Linked DNA regions of Ovis aries. The protein of the gene in region 1 binds, or shares a complex with, the protein of each later gene. Links are inferred from orthologs where the notes say so. Each region holds a gene or a part of one and is shown in the gene's direction. Other genes may lie near its edges.

Region 1 (3,513 bases):
GCTCCATGTTGTTTTTATAATTGCTGTTTTTTTTTTTTACAAAAGCCATATTTATTTTTAAAATTCAAATGGTTAAAGTGGACATTTTCTTTTAAAACTGTGGTTCTGTAACACCCCAGATTCCAACAAGTACCACTTAGTAGCCTTCCTGTTAAGCTGTTGTTCAGACTCTTGGATGCTTTAGTTGCTCCTGTTTTCCCTTCGTGCAAAGGTGCCTAACTAACCCACAGAGCCTTGATTTGTCTGATGCATTTCTGTTGGTTGGATTTCATCTCCCTGAGTTCCAAACTTGTCAGGACACACCATACGGCAGTAAGAGACAGGCAAAGAAAACAAAGGGCAGGATGAGAGGGAGGTGGGTGGCAGCTGTCCAGGTGTCTGACTTTTGGGAAACTGCTGAAAAAAAGAAAGTTAAGTCACTCAGTCATGTCCGACTCTTTGCGACCCTGTGGACTGTAGCCTACCAGGCTTCTCTGTCCATGGGATTCTCCAGGCAAGAATACTGGAGTGGGTTACCATTTCCTTCTCCAGGGGATATTCCCGACCCAGGGATCGAACCCAGGTCTCCCGCATTGGAGGCAGATGCTTTAACCTCTGAGCCAGCTGAATGGTAGTCAAATGAAAACCCTTTCCTATAACCCCAGGTGGCTTGAACCTGTGGGTGGAGCAGAGGTCAGGGGTGCTCCCAGTGGGGTGGAGGATGGTGAGGCAGGAACTGGGCTCCTGGGCTGCTCAGGGAAACCCAGGGAGAGAAAAGTGTCCAGCCTTCCCTTCAGGCACAGTGACAATGGGCCCTTATGAAAAGGAAATGCTGTTTTCAGGCCTTCACCTCCTCCTCTTCAAATAATGAAAAAAAATTTTTTTAATCATAGAAAAGAGGGTAGGGAAAGCGCCTTTTTACAGCAGAAAGCCAGCTAAAACAAGTACAGAAGAAGAATAATTAAATTAGAATATTTCCACTATACAGTTGACACTGACAGGGATCAGCAACAGCAGCTAAATTTTTTAGGAAAAAACCGGCAGAGAATAGCATACTTACACACTCTCAAAGTACCACTCCCCAAATTACTTAGTAATTATAAAGGAAATAATATATATTTACAGTAGTGACTGGCAGACCCCTCCTTAACCAATTACCAACCATAGAATCCCTATCCTGATGATGGCAAACTGGATAGTCTTTGCCTCCCAATGGGATGGGCTAGAAAGAGCGCGGCATTAGGTCTATGGCAATCTCACCCCCACCGCATGTTTCTCCTGAATTTAATCATGAGCAAAATTATCAGAGAATTTTAGAATATAGGCCATTGAACAGGATGGTTGACCTGTCCTCTTAAAAAAAAAAAGTCCACATTATTGCCATCAACAACAAAAGGTGTCCCAGATTCCATGTTTAGGAACATCACATTGGAAGCTTGAGACTGGCCACAAGTCTCAAGTTAGACACATGTGGGAGTATCTACCCCCACATGTTTAGTGCTTAGTTGCTCCGTCGTGTCTGACTCTTTGCAACCCCATGGACTGTAACCAGCCAGGCTCCTCTATCCATGGGGATTCTCCAGGCAAGAATACTGGAGTGGGTTGCCATGCCCTCCTCCAGGGGATCTTCCTAATCCAGGGAACAAACCCAGGTCTCCTGCACTGCAGATTCTTTACCGTCTGAGCCACCAGAGAAGCCCATCTACGCCACAGAAACAGCAAATGCCGCATCCCAGTCTTGGTTTTTTTGTTGATAGTCTAGACTCAGACAGTGAGTGATGGGGAAAGTGACTTGTGCAGACCAGAGGCACGGGTGTGTGTCTGCGGTGCTGTGCTGTGAAGACCGGGAGAACACTCTTCCACATGCGAAACCCAGCATGTGATTCAGCAAAGGCTGCTGATGTTACAGGGGAAGGTGTGAGGTTCCACATGCATCGAGTTCATAGTCTTACTCCTTAATTACAGAAAGATACCAGGCAGTGTCGGAACCACTATCGTATGTCAACTAGGGGACCACAGGTGGCAGGGGAACAGGGGCCAGGCAAACATCCATAAAGCATCCTGGGAGGCCCTGGGCTGTCTGGAATTTACACCAGAGTTCTACCCACTAGCAGTCTTTGTTGTGTCTAGCAGTTTTGCTAATAAAGGAATGTGCCCGTATTAAAATTAACAACAAAAGGTGCAGAGACATTTTTGGTTCTAAAGAACTTGAAATTTAGTCCTGTCCTTCTGAGCCAAAAATGAGATTTCTTCTGTACGGTCTATGTGAAGGGTCCTCTCCCTCCTTGGACGAAGGAAAGTTACCCTAGAGCAACTTCATGTGTCCACCACAACTTTCTAGTGATGAGAAAGTCAAGCGTGGCCAGTGTGCAAGAGTACTGGAAGTCAAGTTCACTTGCATCCAAATAGATGGACTGACTTGCCCCCAATCAGGGGGAGGAGAGAGGACTCTCCCTTTGGAAAGTGGGCTTCTGGGTATTCCCTGAGCAGACAGGCCCCTACATCTCCCTAACTTCTGTTCCCCAGAAACAAGCTGAAACCCAAAAGCAGAGAATCCAGTACCAGTTGGAGCAGCTGTGCCAGTTTTTAGAGCAGCAGGAGCGGCTCTTTGTGGCCTGGCTAGAGGAGTTGGGCCAGACCATCGGCCAGGTTAGGGAGACATATGGCACCCGAGGGACGAGGGACATCGCCCTTCTCGACGAGCTGATTGGGGAGCTGGAGGCCAAGCAGTGCCAGCCAGAGTGGGAGCTTATGAAGGTGAGCGCGGCTGGGCCTGGCCTTCCTCTGTCCACCATGCCCAGTAGGATGACAGGGGCTCCCAATACTGCCATCAGCTCTCCCCAACCCAGTGGTGAGGCCCTTGGGGCTGGGGTGGGACTTGTCCTTGGTGACCCATAATGCCTCTTGTGCTCAGGCCCCTGCAATGCACCCTCAGGAACCCATGGTGGCCTAGAATCTAGGGTATCCATTAGCATCTCCCAGATGTCAGCAGACTTTGGGTACGGTTGTGGTCAGGCCCCAGCTGAGTTGCCACCTTGGTGATTAGAACTGGGGAGAGGGGCCCTGTTTTTGCTGACACTCTGGGACAGGGAGGCCAGGAGTCAGCACAGCCCTTACAACACTGGTGATGGAGAACTTCTCTCTTTTCTCTCCTAGGACATTGGAGTCACCTTGCACAGGTACCAAGAGATCCCCTGATGATCCCTTGGTGGTCGGGGGGCGGGGGGGGGAGGGTCCTGCAGGTAGCATCTGGGGAGGCAGCCCTAGGAGGGAGATGCTCCCAACCCCGGGGATGTGCCTCCTCCCATCTCCTGCAGCTTCCGAAGGCCTTTCTGGATTTGTGTAGGAAGAATGGGAGCATGATCAGGAGGGGAGTGCAGGACTGAAGACGGAACCCAATGAACACACCTGTCGCATGGTGGTGGCTTTCTAGGAATAACAGCCTGTGTCCTGTGCAATTCACCTTGTGAAAACTGTTCTGCAGGACTGCCTGCTTGCAGGCACAGGGAGAGAGGCACTTTCCAGAAGTGGATC
Region 2 (4,313 bases), on another chromosome or scaffold:
TGGAAAGGCCCCTGTCAAGTGCTCCTAACCGACTCGCGTGACAGCAGACTCTAAGGGATTGACTCTTGGACTCACGTGACACACTTAAAGAGAGCGCTACCCCTACTGGACCTGCATGTCATCTGGTGACCTGAGAGTAGACTGTTCAGAATTGAAGCAGATGACTTCTAATGAGACAGTTTTCCCAAAATACTCAGAACAGGCCTGTTGGAGTTGGTCACCACACTTTCGATGACGACACTTCAGATGATCGCCACTGTCTGTTATCCTGGAAATGTGTGAACTTTAGGCAAAAAGTGTTCACAGTTCTGCTACTCCTTGTTACTCAAATGGAACCTCAATAGGTTTGCAATCCACACTTTCCCTCGGATGTGAAATTGTACAAAGGAAAGGGCCTCCCTGGCATTGAGATACGAAGTCACTGACACACAAAAATCTCACACTTGGATCACCACTGCTTTCTGAGAGATTCTGATCAAAAGGGGGAAATGTAAAAAACAAACACACAAAAAACAAATCTCAAAGAGTCAGGAGATAGAAAGGCTGGAGAATCTTTTCTAGCAGAAATCTTTTTTTTTCCCCGGCAATGATTCAGCCCATGAAAAGCAGTGGACTTTTAAAACATCTCTCCAACTTCCTTTTCCCCCATAAAGGTGTCCTCTCCATTTGCATGCAAGTTCCCAGGGTGGCAGACCTCAAATTGCAATTCTTTTCATAATAAACTTGTTTATGCTAGAGAAATAGTTGGCAGTCCATTTATTTTAGGCAGACAATATGTGGTGGCATCTCATTGGTTTTTCACAGTTTCCTAATATCCTATAATATTGAGCATCTTTTCATATACTTACTTGTCATTTGTATCGTGAGAAGTCTGTTGAGATCTTTTGCCTTTTCTCAATTGCATTTTTCCTTCTCTGGCATTTCTAGTATACTTTGGGTAACAGTATTTTATCAGCTATGCTTTCTGCAAATATTTTCTCAGTTTGTGGCATCTCATTACCTCCAGATATCTTTTTATAGTATGTAATCATGCTATATATATAATCAACTTTTCATCATAACACTATAGCAACCATTTCCCATTTTGCTTCAGACTTCCCAACCATCCTCGTATGATGCTGGTTCCTCCGCAGCCCCACAGAAGAGATTATCCCCACTTCACAGGTGAAGGAGATAAATGCCTGGGAGCTTGCTGCCTAGGGTTCCCGCGCTGCTGACCTGCAGAGCTCAGAATCCCCCGGGGAAGCAGCCCATCGTCTCCGGCCCTGCCCGCCGCGCCCGGCAGGTTTCTGTGAGTGGTTTCCGTGACTCGGCATTTCCTCTGTCCTCTCGGCCTCCCAAACCGCTCTGAGAGCACGATCCTCAGTCTGAGCGCGTCCCGGGGTTTCAGAACGGGCCCGGAGACCTTTCCAGACGCGGGGCGGGCGCTCTCCCCACCCTCCTCAGGGGCAGGAGCGGAGGCGGAGCGAGCAGTCCACGCCCTCCGCCGGCCGGGCTCCCTCAGTCGAAGCGCCGGCGGCGCGGACACCGCATCGGTGTCCCGGAGCGCTGACCCCGGAGCGCGGGGCCCCAGCGGGCCCACTCCGCGAGGAGCCCGAGCGCGCCGACCACTGGACAGCACGCGACGGACGGCTGGCCCGCGGAGCCGGGCGCGGTGAGGGCAGGGCAAGGCGGGGCGGTCCCCGCCCGCCTCCCAGCCGACGGCTCCGCCCCGGAGACCCCTAATCGGGCCCGGCGTGCCACCCCGGCCTGCGCCGGCCAGGTACTGCCGGGCGTCGGAGCAACTCTAGGCTGCCCCGCCGCCTCCTTCCTCACCCGGCCTGGGGCCTCAGGAAGTCTCCCGCGAAAGCGAAAGCGAATCTCTCGGTGCGTCAGCGCGGGACCGCCGGGCCCAGACCAGTCTCTGGGGCAGGCTTCCGGCAGGGGGCGGGGCTTCTGCTTCCGGTGGGTGGGGCGGGCGACGCGGCTGCCGGAGTTCGGGCGGTGGGCGTGGCCCGCGGCGTTCCTGAGGTCTGGCGGTGGGCCAGTGGGGTGGTGGGCGTGGCCCGCGAGTTCTCAGAAGGCAGACGGTGGGCCTTTAGGGTGGTGGACGTGGCCCGCGAGTTCCCGGAAGTCAGACGGTGAGCCGGTAGGATGGTGGGCGTGGCCCGCGAGTTCCCGGAAGTCAGATGGTGAGCCAGTAGGAGGGTGGGCGTGGCCCGCGAGCTCCCGGAAGTCGAGCGCCCAACTGCCAGCCGTCGGCGGTCCCTGCGGCGTCTCGTCTCGCCGGGAGTTTGGGTCTGGCGGGACCGGGCAGAGATTTGGCTCCCGCGCGATAACTGCCTGAGGTGGAGACGGCCCGCCACGTGGTTTGCGCTGTGGTGTCAGGGGAGGTGGCCGGTCTTCCCTGCGGTGTCGTTACGAGCTTTCGCCGCCCCGGGTCACGGGGGCGCCGGGGCCGCCGCTGCTCGCGACGCCGTCAGACGCCTTCCCGCGCCGTCTTCGAGGAGAGCTGGGAAAGAAGGGTCGACGGGCACGGCGGGGAGGGCGTCGTCCCCCGGTGGCGCGTGCTTTTACTAAGTGACTGAGCGCGCACACGCTCTCGTAGCCTCTTTAGAGTTTTGAAGAGGGTGAGCGCCACCCTTCTTTGCTCACGCTGGACAGCCTCCCACAGAGGCGGGGTTACTGTTCATTACTTTGTCTCTCGCTGTTCCTTCGGCTCTTCCTTGCTCGGAGCTCTTGCGTGTCCTGGACAAAGCCCGAGGCCCGTTACACTCAAGCGACTTTGCAATAGAACCGCTATTACTTCTCCCTCCATTCACACATGAAGAAATCAAGGCAGGAGTGACTTCTTCCTTGATCTACGTTTTGTAACCATCAGGTACGTAGGTGCAAGAGTGGGGAGGAGATTGTAGTCAATTATAAGTATGGGGAACTGCCCCCTTCTAAACACAAAAGGGAAAGAGGAAGCTTGTTTAAAGCAGTTGAGGTATCTCATCATCGTAATTATTATTACTGGTAAAACAACTATCATGATTAACTGTAATTTGCATGCTTCACTGAGCTGAATTGAGCACCACAGATACATTGCACTTTCAGGATTGTGAATATTCACGAGAATAAAGAAAAATATCCCTAAATAACAGTTTCCAAAATTGAAAATTTCTCTTGGATGCTTATTAATCAACAACATGGTAATACCACCAGTATGAGCTGGGAATTTGAAAAAGCACAGCTTCCCATGCTATGGTTGGACGTTATACTTCGGCAAAAATGATCGTGTTAACCTGTAGAATATTGATTTTGAACCGCATGTTTTCATATGTTTTTAAAATTTAGTCTGTACTTTCCCTATGTTTCTGAATGTAGCATACTTATTTAGTATAGGTGAGCAAAATTGTAAGATTAGGTCTTTGAATCTGATTTTAAGGAAGACAAATTATTGTTTACTCTCTGGAGAAGTAGCATGTGTTACTGAACTGATAGTGGAAATTTGAGTGAAGACATTAAGACTCAATTCTGGGATCTGTTACTCTAGGTGAATCATTAAACTCCAAATTATAGTTTCTCAGTTTGTAACTTGGAACCGATGTATTAATAAGTTGGTACTTCACAGGGTCATCATGTGCAAGATACACTGGGTTGAACTCTTGTAGTTTTCTCTCTTGCTCAGAGCTCTTGTTTATCTGAGGCAAAGCATCAAGCAGTTAAAATCAAAGAACCTTGAGAAATTCCCATTGGATGCCTGAGTAAAAACAGAGTTCCATGTGCAGAGGAAAAGGGGGTCATGATAGTCGGGTAGCCAGCATTTTCTGTCAGACTCCTCATGTATGGTCCTCACTGAAACACTGAAAAAAATCGCCCTCAACCACTTAAAGGTAAATATGAAATTTTTTTAACTTAAAAAAATTATTTATTGTGATACACAGAAAAGAACACACATCATAACTGTTTGACTCTCTTAATTGTCCTGAAGTGAACATTAAGAAGAGACAAGTATCGCCCTCACGCCCGACACTTCCTTCCTTCCCTGCTGGCTGCTTCCACCTCTCAGTAACTACTGCCCTAAGTGTTAACATTGTAGATTCATTTTCCCTGGCTTTTTGATGTTATATATTGTTAGTTATTTGTATTCTTCCCCAGTTTTACTGAAGTATAGTTGACAAAATTGAATGTCGATATGAATATTTTTTATATAGACTTACAGATAACTTGTGAAGTTTCTTGGAATTTCCAATTAATTTCAATTAATTTCCAATTAATTTCAATTAATTTTCCAATTAATTTTGAAAATCCATTAAAATAGACCGTTATATTCTCTGTTGAAAGTACTT
Region 3 (3,513 bases), on another chromosome or scaffold:
CCCTGGAAACCCACGCTAACTGTTCTGCCGATCCACCTGCTCTTCAATTCAGAGCCTAAAGTAATCATTCCCAGTCTGCCGGTGTCTCCTCTGTCTGGCTAGGATTTACCTGTGTGCATAGTGGGGAGGGGGTGGGAAGAGCGGTAGCAGAGGGTGGGGGTTAAGGGTCATGTTTCCATGTCCTCTACCAGGCTCCACAGCTCCCTGCTACCTCCCTCCAATGCCTTCTGCTGATCCCTCAACTCTGGATTCCCTGGCTGGATCCAGGGGGCCCCAGGACATCCGGATGGAGAAGTCTGTGCTCAGGCGAGTTCAGATGGGACATGGCAATGAGATGCGACTTCACAGCAACCCAGCCAAGGGCTCTGCCTGCGGCGCCTTTGACAGCCCCCCAGGTAATGAGACAATGGGCTGCCATCCTGCCCCCACCCCACCCCACCTGGCCTCCTCAATACATGGGACTTGAGCCAGTCCTTGTGGTGAGAGAGGCATTATGGGAAATTCTTTCCATCCCACCAAGAGGCTGTCCACAGAGTAGAGCAAGGGGGTCTGGCAGAGTTAACACAAGGATTCCCATTCCTGCTACTCACCTAGGAAACCTCGATGTCCTCATCTCTACAATGGGCAGGGATCATTTCCTGGGCCAGATGAAGCAGAGACAAAGGAGATGGCTGGGCTGGAAAGGCATCTAAGGAGCCACCTAGGTGCTGTTGACCAGAGGGCCGAGACGATGTCCTCGCTGGCACTGGGCATCCAGAGACAGGCTGGGGGAGATGCAGCAGAGAGGCCTGGGAGAGGAGGAGCCCCAGGGATGCCAGGGCACAAGTTTCCAGAAGAGAAGAGGCTTTAAGATCAAGGGAGGGTCACGGGGTCTGGCAGCAAGGGGTCTGCGGTGAGCTGAGGGGCCAGAAGGAGCGAGGGCAGTGGACAAAGGTGAGACAGAGCATGTCCAGCTCTCTTTTGAAGTTTGGCAGAGGAGGCAGGAGCAAGATGGCAGGGGCTGGGGACTGGGCCGGGGGCCATGTGAAGATTTTAACTGAAGATGGAGATGGTGTTCCAGAGCTGCCAGAAGGCAGGCAGCAGAGGGGCAGGGACAGGGGTCCACAGGGGCAGTGGCTGAGTGCCTGGGGAGGCACAGGGGACCAGGTCAGTGGGGACAGGCAGCAGGAGGGGAGCTCAAGCTGGCAGACCCAGGGGCCGAGAGAGCTGGCAGCCCAGGCATGTACATACAGAGTCACCACGTGAGGCCACGTGTCTGCCAATGACAGAGCATGGCATGGACCACTGCAGGGAGGCTCCAGGAGGACGGTCAGCTGTGGAGGATCTGGGAGCCATGTTGGAGGTCAGGCCTGCTGTCCAGCTGCTCACACCCCCTCCCCAAATCCCTTTCTATGACCAACCTGCAGCCTCTGTCCTGGGTACCAGCCCAGAAGCTTCCATCGAAATTCAAATCCCTGAACCAGGACCTCAGTCCGAAGGGGTCACGTCCCAGAGAATCCACATTCGCTCCTGCTTCCTCGAGGACACCACCGTCGGCAACAGCAACAGGATGATGGTCCACCCGGGGGCAGCTGATGTCAAGGGAGTCCAAAGGCCTAGGGAAACAGGAGGGGATGCAGGTGAGCCTGGGGCAGGGCGGGGGCCCCATGCTCTCTCTCTCATTCACTCAACAGTCCTGAATCTCCCGTTTCCTGGAGTCGGGGAGGCAGGAGAGTCATGGCAGAAGTGGAGAACACCTAACCCATCACTCAGCTGGGAGCCTCTGCTTCCCCATCTATCAGTTGAGGGTTAGAGGAGCCCATGGCTCCTGGGCTGTGGGGAGGATTGGATGCGCTCCACTCACTGCTGCCGCACCTGGATCAGACCAGTGACACGTTTGTGGGGCCTGGTGCAGCAAGAAAAAGCAAGGCTCCTTGTTCAAAATTTAGGAAGAATTTCAAGACAAAGACCGGAAAGCAGTAAGCCGAACACAGGCCCATCTGAAGGGCCTGTGTGACCACCCAAGCCACATGCCATGAGGCTGGGCTGCCTTGGAACCTTCTGGAACATGATCATTCCTCTACTCTTAGTCACCCAGCTCACTAATTCTTCCCCACGAATAATGCTGTAGCCATCTTACGCTTCTCCCACGTCTTCAGTTGTTAGGAAGAAGTCATTGATTCATTCATTCATTCACCCACTTTGGCCCCACTCCTGCACAAAAACCCTCCCCGTCCTTGGAAATACAGCTAAGAGCACAAAGAGACAAATACACCCCACTCATGAGATAAGAGTCCAGTAGCAAGTAGAGACTAGCCTTTTGAGACCAGCACTAAAAAGAACTCTAAAACGGGAGGCGGCAGGTAGGCAGCAGTGTGACCTAGTAGATGTGCCTTAGCCAGGCCGACAGAGACCCTCAGGATGAGGTGGCATCTGTGCCCAGGCCTGTAGGAAGGGAGGAACCAGACAAGCATAGATGTGGGAAGAGCACTGCAGGCAGAGGGAACAGCAAGTGCAAAGGCCCTGAGATGGGAACAAAGTCCAGGACCACACACATGAGCCCAGGGAGCAGAGGGGTGGGATCCAGTGGGCAAGGCTGGGTCTCTCCCTGATGGGAAGCCCAGGAAAAAGGCCTGGGTCTTATCTGAAGTGAGCTGGGGAGGCCTGGGGGGCTGGAGCAGGGGGACAGCATGATGTGGGGCACAATTTAAAAGTCTGACCAAAGATAACCTGAAATCAAAGGCAGGGAGGAAGTGGGAGCACTGGTCTGGGGGAGAAAGGATAGGGCTTTGTAGATGGGGACGTGAGGCCATCCACCCGTGAAGCCTGCACCCCAGGGAGCGGCTTCAGCAACCATGAGCCAAGTCACCTCGGTTGTTCAGTTGTTCGTGGGGAGATGGCTGACGTGTTCCTGGGGTCCCTTCTCTTCCCCAGAGCCTCCCCACCGAGATGCACCATCCAGAAGCGAGGTCCCTCCTGTTGGCAGTCGGGCTGACCCCGTCAGCGCTGAGACGCTCATCTCAGAAAACCTGGCAGCTACGACCCTTGAGAGGCATGACTCCGAAAACACAGAAGACACCTGCTGAGTGATGGACCCGAAGAGCCGGTGTCCCCAGAGGGGTGGGACTCAGGGCAAACAGCCTGCAGGCAGACACACAGAAAGAGCCTGGGGGCGGGTGAGCTCTCTGCTGCCATGTTATTTCTTACCTTCTCGCCTCCGGACGCGTGGCCAGTGTGGGTCAGCATTTGGGCTGGACCCGGCACGGTGTGAGGGCTGTGTCGAGGCAGTCTGAGTGCGGCTTGGAATAGAGTTTCCAGAAAGGAGTGAGTTTATTAAGAACAAAGGCCGGAAGTAAAGTGGGCACTGCAATCACGGTGGGCCGTCAGGTCCCAACAGGCCTGAGCAGCTGCTGTCCCCTCCCTATGTTGTGGCCAGGTCTGTCCTGCTCTGTCCGGGTCTGGTCTCTTGATGGCTGCTCTGCTTCCTGTCACCAGGCTCAGTTCCTCCGGCCACCCCTGCCCCTACCATCTATC
Region 4 (4,257 bases), on another chromosome or scaffold:
TCCTGAACTAGACGTTTTTGAGGAACTTCCAGACTTGCCTTTATATTCCGTGAGATACCACCGTATCACCATAAGACTTCAGATTAATTCTGTCGACTGCGCAGGTACGTGAAGAGACCCCAAACCAGAAATAAACCCAACCTCCTAGCTCCTCTCTGTTGACTATGGAGCACCACCTGGGATGGTTAGCATCTCAGTGAAGCCTCAAAAAGTTTGGGTTGTTCATTTATTAATCCAATTCAACAAATATTTATTGGATACCTACCTTGTACCAGCTTTTAAAGAGACTACAATTTAAGAATTCCCTAAATAGGTCAAAAATAGCATGCACTGACTCCATCAGAATTCAAGATGTGTATCCTGGAGTTCCAGTTTCTGGAGGAACCACAGTTAACTGCTGGCCACTTTTGCTCCAGCTAGAGGAGTCCATGGACCACTGGACAGGATGGAAAGTTCCACAAGGTGAGCACCTTCCAGGGAGTCTTGCCCCATGACCCACAGGGTTGAGTCTCCCCATGAAGGACTGAGTGCCTAAGGCTGGCCGTATCTAATTCCATAACCTTCAGCTATGGTCAGGCCTTGGGCAGGTAAAATATGAACACCTTTTGTCAACCCTGAATCCTTAAGTCTCCCCAAGCTCCTGAGTTCTCCAAGACCCTTGTCCAGAGCATGTTTGTCAGGAAGATTTATTAATATTAACCAGAGAATTTGCAATGGAGGGTGGGGAGAGAGGGCAGAGAGGCTCTGCGGTGTCTCCACTGCCGTGTACACCACAGTATCAGCAACTCTCTGGTGGGCCAATTCACCTAGCTGACCACAGCACCCTGGGAGAGGTCTGTATTCGGAAAGAATAGAGCCCAGTGGACAAGCCACACCTTCCCCCGTCACCTTCCCCACCAGCTGACGTCTTTGTGAAAACGGCAAAGCTTCACGGTTCAGAGCCAGGCTCTGACGTCAGTTCCATGTCAGCTTGGGCCAGGTGCTTATACGCTCAGTGGTTTCTCACCTATAAAGAAGTAACAAAAGCAGTACCTATCCCCTTGGGTTGATGTGAGGATTAAGTGAGCTAATGGCATGTGGTGAGCTTTAGAGAAGTGTTAACTATGATCTTAGGGCAGCTGTGGGAGAACAGAGTCCTAGGACCATGACATCCTACTCAGCGCCACCGCCCGCACTCCCCCCGCCCCCCGCCAACCCTCCGCTCCCCGAACCCCGCCGCGGTATCCCAAGCTTGGCGCTGGAGCTGGGAATCCTGTGGAAGAAGGGAGAGAGGCCAGCGGTAGGAGGTGGTTGCGGGTTCCTGGAGGGTGAGGATACCCAGCGACAACCAGACCTGACCTGACACCTTGGGAGCAGCACTAGTTTCTGTTCTGCACCCTGCCCTGTGCCCTTCCCCGCCCCCGGGGCGGGACTGTAGAGGCATCAATTAAAGAAGGAAGTGGATCGGGCAGAGAGCACAACCCCGCGAAGCGGGAAGCGGAACCGTGAAGGAGCCTGGAGGTTGATTCCTCTCCCCGCCCCCAACCCCTCTTTCATCCGTGGGGGCTCGCAACTTCCAGAAGCTTCTCTCATCTTCCAGCCTGATGTCTGGCTCTGCGTTATGGTGAGTGGAGACTGAGATATGGATGCGCCTCGTGCCAAGACCAGGGCACAGTGCGTCTCACGGGAGGGGCTGGGGCTCGAACTGACAGCGCTGAGCCGAGTCACGGAGGTGGGCGCGGGGGGCGGTTAGAGGGGTGGGCCTCGGAGGGGAGTAGGGAGGCCTTGGGCCCGCGGCCGGCTGGTTACGTGGCCCCCCTCTCTCAGGCCCAGCGGTGCCTCAGCCCCGCTGGTGCCCATCGAGGAACTGGAGAACCCGGAGTTAATAGGCAAGGGCGGATTTGGCTCTGTCTTCCGGGCACATCACAGGAGTTGGGGCGTAGAAGTGGCGGTCAAGATCGTGAACTCGTGAGTGACCCGAGGTGGGGTCTGGTCCAGGAGGCTGGGCCGGGGAGGAGGGGCCGCTGTGCGGGGCGGGGCCTGGGCGGCGGGGAGGGTCGCTCGGGCGCAGAGCTGACGGCACCTCTCCCCTGAGAGCAGGAGGGCCATATCCAGGGAGGTGAAGGCCATGTCCAGTCTGCATAACAAGCATGTGCTGCTCCTGCTGGGGGTCACCGAGAAGCTGGAGTGGGAGTACGTGTCTGGGCCGGCTCTGGTGACTCCGTTCATGGAGAACGGCTCCCTGGCGGAGCTGCTACAGCCCCACTGCCCTCGGCCCTGGCCGCTCCTCTGCCGCCTGCTGCAGGAGCTGGTGCTCGGGATGTGCTACCTGCACAGCCAGAACCCAGTGCTTCTCCACCGGGACCTCAAGCCCTCCAACGTCCTGCTAGACTCAGAGCTGCACGCCAAGGTCAGCCCACCCTCACCCAGCCCATCTTCTGGACCAGGTCCTGCCCCAGAGCTGCTCCAACCCCATCCACGGGACATAGGACCCGCATCTGCTGCAGCCCTGTCTCCTGAATACCCTCAGCATCTCCCTCTGGACACAGGGCTGCCCAAGTGTCAAGGCCTAGCCTGGAGCTCTGGCCCCTGCCACACCAGGTGATGGAGGCCTTGACCATCACCTGACCATCACCTGACTTACCCTGGTCAGTTCCACAGGCCCACCCCACGGGCCTCCAAAGACCCGTAGCTGATCTATCCCAGGAGACTCAGACCTCAACCTGGTGCCATGGAGAGGGGACCCAGGCCTCCAGCCAGGGGCCCCACTGGTCCTACCCTTCCCCTAACCCTCCATACAGTCTTTGCAAGGCTGGGCCTGCACTTTTGGGGGGAGAGGAGTAAGGAAAGGGTTCTGGGAGTTTCTTGGACCTGCCCATTCCCTATCTCCTTCTTATCTCCCTTTTGTTCCATCCCCTATCTCCTCGTTCTTATCTCCCTTTTGCAGGTGGCAGATTTTGGCCTGTCCACATTTCAGGGAGGCTCACAGTCAGGGGCAGGATCTTGGGAGTCAGGGTGCACCCCAGCCTACCTGGCCCCAGAACTGTTGGCTAATATAAACCAGAAGGCCTCCAGGGCCAGTGATGTCTACAGGTAAGGCACCCACTCCAAACATATATCCAAACATATATCCCCAATTTCTACACCTGCCTGGGTCCTTCAAAGGGATGCTGTATGGAAAGGAATCTTGCCAGCAGTTGAGTCAGGCCTCAGCTTTGTGTCTACTGCAGCTTTGGGATCCTAACATGGGCAGTGCTAGCCGGAAGAGAAGCTGAGAGTAAGACAGACTCTGGGATCCTTCACCTCAGGTGCCCCCCTCCTCTAAGCCCCCAGTCTCCCAACCCCAAGCCCTCTTCCTCCTGTTTACCTGCTCAGACTGCCCCACTCCCTCCTCACATCTCCTACACTCCCCAGCCCTTTCCGTGATGGGGTAGCCTTCATACTCTGAATGCCTTCTCTTCACACCCCTACCCCCACCCTAGTAGTGCCCCAGACGTTGTTGGTGCGGGAAGCAGTGTGTGAGAGGCGGATCCGGCCCCCGCTGACTGAGCTGCCCCCGTCTGGGCCTGAGACTCCTGGCTTGGAAGAGCTGGCAGATCTGATGCAGAGGTGCTGGAGCCATGAGCCCCAGAAGAGGCCTTCCTTCCAAGGTGTGCTGGCCATCCGGCTGGCAGCTGAGACAGGCCTGAATTTGTCAGCAGGGGCTTCTCCCCCGGAAAAGAAATTTTGTTGACCTGCCACCCACTCTGCCTTCTCTCTAGAATGCCGAATAAACACCCAGAAAGCCCTTGATCTGGTAAATAAAGGAGATGCGCCTGGTAGAAAGATGAATGCCGCAGTCTACGTGGTGAGTGCTCACCCCCACCCAGGAGCTGGGCAGGATGGCAAACGCGGCCCCCTTGGCCACTCAGTGACCCCCCACTGACCACCCTTCTCTAAGCTTTGACCATGGTCCCCTCTCTCCTCACCCCATCCCTGAGTTCCCAGGCAACAGATATGGACCCAACTCCCTTGGGTTTACTCCGGCTCTCCCACCTCCATGCCCAGCCAGCTCCCCATCCCTACAGGTGAAGGAGTTCCTTTCTGAGTACAGGGGCAGCAACAGCCCAGGCCTGGAAAGGACAGAAATAGACAGTCCTAAGGAAACCACAGGAAGCCATGATTCCCTGGGCTCTGAAATGATGAAGCTGAATCTGGAGGGGCGCCCCAGCTCTGTTCCTGAAAAATGTACAAACCTTCTTGAGAACATCAGGGTCCCGAGAGAGCAGGTTCCGCCTG
Region 5 (3,513 bases), on another chromosome or scaffold:
CTAGGAATTACTGCCGTATACTATTGACTTTTCTTTCTTTTGTTTTCAATAAACTTATTTATTTATGGCTGCACTGGGTCTTCATTGCTGTGTGTGGGCTTTCTCTAGTTGCAGTGAGTGGGGGCTATTCTCTCTGGTGTGTAGGTATCTCATTGTGGTGGCTTCTCTTCTTGCAGAGCATGGGCACTAGAGTATGCAGGCTTCAGTTGTTGCTATGCCCCAGGCTTAGTTGCTCCAAGGAATGTGGAACTTTCCTGGACCAGGATCTAACCCATACCCTCTGCACTGGCAGGCAGATTCTTAACCACTGGACCACCAGGGAGGCCCAATATGATTTTTCTTGTTTCACTTTTCAGAGGCTTTGGACAAGACCTTTCGTGAACTTCATTTTGAGATAGTGCACTACAGAGACCAAACAGCAAAGGGAATCTGTGAGGTTCTGAAATCCTACCAGAAGAAGGACCACAAAACCAAAGACTGCTTCATCTGCTGCATCCTTACCCATGGAAACAAGGGCACCATCTATGGCTCCGATGGGCAAGAAGCCCCCATCTATGAGCTGACCTCCTACTTCACTGGATCAAAATGCCCTTCCCTTGTCGGCAAACCCAAAATCTTTTTTATTCAGGCTTGTCAAGGGGATAAGTACCAGAGAGGAATAGCTGTTGAGACCGACTCAGAACAGAGGGAAGCCTATTTAGAAGCGGATTCGTCACCTCAGAAGAGATATATCCCAGATGAGGCTGACTTTCTGCTGGGGATGGCCACTGTGAACAACTGTGTTTCCTACCGAAGCATCGTGAAGGGGACCTGGTATATCCAATCGCTTTGTCAGAACCTGAGAGAAAGATGTCCTAGGTAATTTTTGCTTATTCAATCCTACATTCATCTCCAAATGTCTAGTTGTGGATCACGTAGCTGATTCTCAGGTCAGTTGCAGAGTGAAAGAGACAGCAAGTGTTAAGATCTTTAGTTCACAGATGGAAGAACCTGAGATGCTTACAGAGGATTTTCTTTTATTTAGCACAAAGGGCCATCAGTATATCATAGAGCTGGAGAGATGGCAAAATCATATAGTACAGCTCTGTTTTTAGGCAGAAACATGACTGAACCCACTCAACAAGTTTGGAATTTCAATGTTTAACATTCTCTTACTCTGTCAAAAGTGAAAGTGTTAGTTGCTCAGTTGTGTCTGACTCTTTATGACCCCATAGACTGTAGCCCACCAGGCTCCTTTGTCCATGCAATTTCCCAGGCAAGAGTACTAGAGTGGGTTGCTATTTCCTCCTCCAGGGTATCTTCCGAACTCGGGAGCGAACCCAGGTCTCCTGCATTGCAGGTGGATTTTTCTTTTTTCAAACCATCTGAGCCACCAGGGAAGACTTCTATAATAGCTCACCAACCTCAAACCCTTTTGTGGGAGTTAAGAGCCAAGAGTAGAAACCTTTTATATTGCCAATAATTTGACTGCTTTGAAGCTCACAACATGTGGGAAAATATCTTTTTCTCATTTATTATCTTATGTTTCCATAGTTAAATGATAGTTTTGTATGGCTTAGTTCACCTAATGGACATACAACCAGCGAATAAATAGCAAGAACTCCTCTGCAAGTTGCTTCTAGTTTTGTGTCTTATTATGTTTTAAGTGTGTGAAGAGCAAGAATTGTCCATGGCAGAGAAAGGACTGAGAGGGAACCATAACATCTAGGCTATATTTTCATTTTGCAACTTAGACAGTGAATGAACCTGCAAGGTTCCAGGGAGCTAGCTACAGAGGTGAATGAACAGGTTGCCCAACTAAACTGATAAGAGGTGCTGGTGAGAAAGGGGTGGAGTTGCTGCAGGAGACATTCTATTTCTACTTGCTTCAAGTTTGATGGGGCCATCAACGAATCCACAGAAGCAATGCCAATTTGAGGCAGAGGATGTTGAGGGGCCTTGGGGAGATTAGTGGGTAAGTGACATAGTACTTGGAGTTGCTGCTGCTGCTGCTAAGTCGCTTCAGTCATGTCCAACTCTGTGCAACCCCAAAGACGGCAGCCCAACAGGCTCCGTTGTCTCTGGGATTCTCCAGGCAAGAACACTGGAGTGGGTTGCCGTTTCCTTCTCCAATGCGTGAGTAAGGTACGAATAGGTCAGGAGGGAAAGAAACCAAATCCAGTGTTGACACTGAGGTTTCGGATGGTCTTAAGATCCCAAATAAACCAAAGGTAAGTTATGAAGCTCTGAGAACTTCTTTACCGAGAAAGCTGGGGTAGGCCTTGGTTTAACACCTTATGAATTCAAATGCCTGATGTTTTGAGGGAAATAATTATCATTAACCACAGTAGATGATAGTGATTTCCTCCCATAGATATGTAATAACAAGGTTCTGTTACATTTTTCAGGGGTGAAGACATTCTGACCATCCTAACCAAGGTGAACTTCGAAGTAAGCAAAAAGGATGACAAGCAAAACATGGGCAAACAGATGCCGCAACCTACTTTCACACTGCGAAAAAAACTCTTCTTTCCTCTTAATTGATGCTATTGTTTAGTTGTATAACTAGACAATAGTTATGCAACTGAACAATAGTTAAAATGCTGCTACTTTATTCTCTTTCTTCTTCTTTTTATTTTCAAATAGCTGGCATATCATGAGAGTCAGGACAACATAATTTTTATGCAAATTCAAGCCTAAATCTCTGGCTTTGTAGACAATAACAGTCATAGCTGTGGTCTTGATTTCAATTGTATTTTTAATTTGATGAAAAGGTTTAAAAATGAACTAAAATAAACACAAAAAACACAGTAAGTTTAAAAGAAATATCAAAGATCATGGAGGGAGATTTTTGTGATCTGACCTAGCTGAAAAATCCCCTCGACTATTGAGGTTCAGGGTATAAAGTTCCCACATCCAGCCTGATTGCTACTGATGTGTATGATAAGCTGTCCTGGAAACATGTGACCCTCCTCTCCTTAGCCATGAGCAGACTCTGATTTTCAGTGGTGAAAACCACCACTCTTTAGACTTCAGTTTCAAAAGCTTAGAGATTATTTTCCTTTTTTAAAAGAATTATTCATAAATGCGGCATTCAACATACTTTTAAGAGAAATGATGTTAATATTAACTCGTTTTATACTTCCAGTAGATCTTTTCCCAAGCTGTCCTTTATACTAATTTGCAATATTTTGTAAAATAAAAAAATTTTAAAATTCATATATTAAAGATTTTAAAAATACCAAATGATTTTGTTTTTTAAAGACTCTTTCCAAACTGAAAAGTTTTTATATACATGCTTCTGCAGTGCTGAACATGATTTGCTTTTTTACTAAAAATGCAGTATGCCTTTTATATGTTTGCTCTTTCTTTATATGTTCAATTCACTTTAAATCTTTAGTAATTAATAATTAGTAATGTAATAAATATTTTTAACAGAATAAAATATAATTTTATCATACTATGCCTTGGAGATTGTTTTTGTTTTTTTGCCAATAGAACCTAGTCTTACAGGTAGAAAATGTTTGGGTCATA

The links.
Region 2: MEFV (region 1) and RIPK1 share a complex: the UniProt entries of both Homo sapiens proteins name them as parts of the AIM2 PANoptosome complex. The link is inferred for Ovis aries from reciprocal best matches to the Homo sapiens genes MEFV and RIPK1.
Region 3: MEFV (region 1) and ZBP1 share a complex: the UniProt entries of both Homo sapiens proteins name them as parts of the AIM2 PANoptosome complex. The link is inferred for Ovis aries from reciprocal best matches to the Homo sapiens genes MEFV and ZBP1.
Region 4: MEFV (region 1) and RIPK3 share a complex: the UniProt entries of both Homo sapiens proteins name them as parts of the AIM2 PANoptosome complex. The link is inferred for Ovis aries from reciprocal best matches to the Homo sapiens genes MEFV and RIPK3.
Region 5: MEFV (region 1) and CASP8 share a complex: the UniProt entries of both Homo sapiens proteins name them as parts of the AIM2 PANoptosome complex. The link is inferred for Ovis aries from reciprocal best matches to the Homo sapiens genes MEFV and CASP8.

The regions. Positions count from the first base shown.
Region 1 is NC_056077.1:3,232,484-3,235,996, reverse strand, and holds part of MEFV (pyrin), read left to right. Parts: intron 1-2,505; coding exon 2,506-2,736; intron 2,737-3,135; coding exon 3,136-3,158; intron 3,159-3,513. UniProt on the Homo sapiens protein: Involved in the regulation of innate immunity and the inflammatory response in response to IFNG/IFN-gamma.
Region 2 is NC_056073.1:49,697,677-49,701,989, reverse strand, and holds the start of RIPK1 (receptor-interacting serine/threonine-protein kinase 1), read left to right. Parts: upstream 1-1,502; 5' UTR 1,503-1,762; exon of another isoform or gene 1,763-1,933; intron 1,934-2,210; exon of another isoform or gene 2,211-2,860; intron 2,861-3,595; exon of another isoform or gene 3,596-3,857; intron 3,858-4,313. UniProt on the Homo sapiens protein: Serine-threonine kinase which is a key regulator of TNF-mediated apoptosis, necroptosis and inflammatory pathways.
Region 3 is NC_056066.1:58,234,218-58,237,730, forward strand, and holds part of ZBP1 (Z-DNA-binding protein 1), read left to right. Parts: intron 1-191; coding exon 192-395; intron 396-590; exon of another isoform or gene 591-788; intron 789-1,230; exon of another isoform or gene 1,231-1,324; intron 1,325-1,400; exon of another isoform or gene 1,401-1,406; coding exon 1,407-1,619; exon of another isoform or gene 1,620-2,913; coding exon 2,914-3,065; 3' UTR 3,066-3,513.
Region 4 is NC_056060.1:20,648,044-20,652,300, forward strand, and holds the start of RIPK3 (receptor-interacting serine/threonine-protein kinase 3), read left to right. Parts: upstream 1-1,449; 5' UTR 1,450-1,583; coding exon 1,584-1,603; intron 1,604-1,806; coding exon 1,807-1,947; intron 1,948-2,079; coding exon 2,080-2,389; intron 2,390-2,426; exon of another isoform or gene 2,427-2,710; coding exon of another isoform or gene 2,711-2,926; coding exon 2,927-3,072; intron 3,073-3,209; coding exon 3,210-3,256; intron 3,257-3,461; coding exon 3,462-3,629; intron 3,630-3,740; coding exon 3,741-3,826; intron 3,827-4,046; coding exon 4,047-4,257. UniProt on the Homo sapiens protein: Serine/threonine-protein kinase that activates necroptosis and apoptosis, two parallel forms of cell death. Necroptosis, a programmed cell death process in response to death-inducing TNF-alpha family members, is triggered by RIPK3 following activation by ZBP1.
Region 5 is NC_056055.1:203,637,561-203,641,073, forward strand, and holds the end of CASP8 (caspase-8), read left to right. Parts: intron 1-356; coding exon 357-858; intron 859-2,387; coding exon 2,388-2,523; 3' UTR 2,524-3,442; downstream 3,443-3,513. UniProt on the Homo sapiens protein: Thiol protease that plays a key role in programmed cell death by acting as a molecular switch for apoptosis, necroptosis and pyroptosis, and is required to prevent tissue damage during embryonic development and adulthood.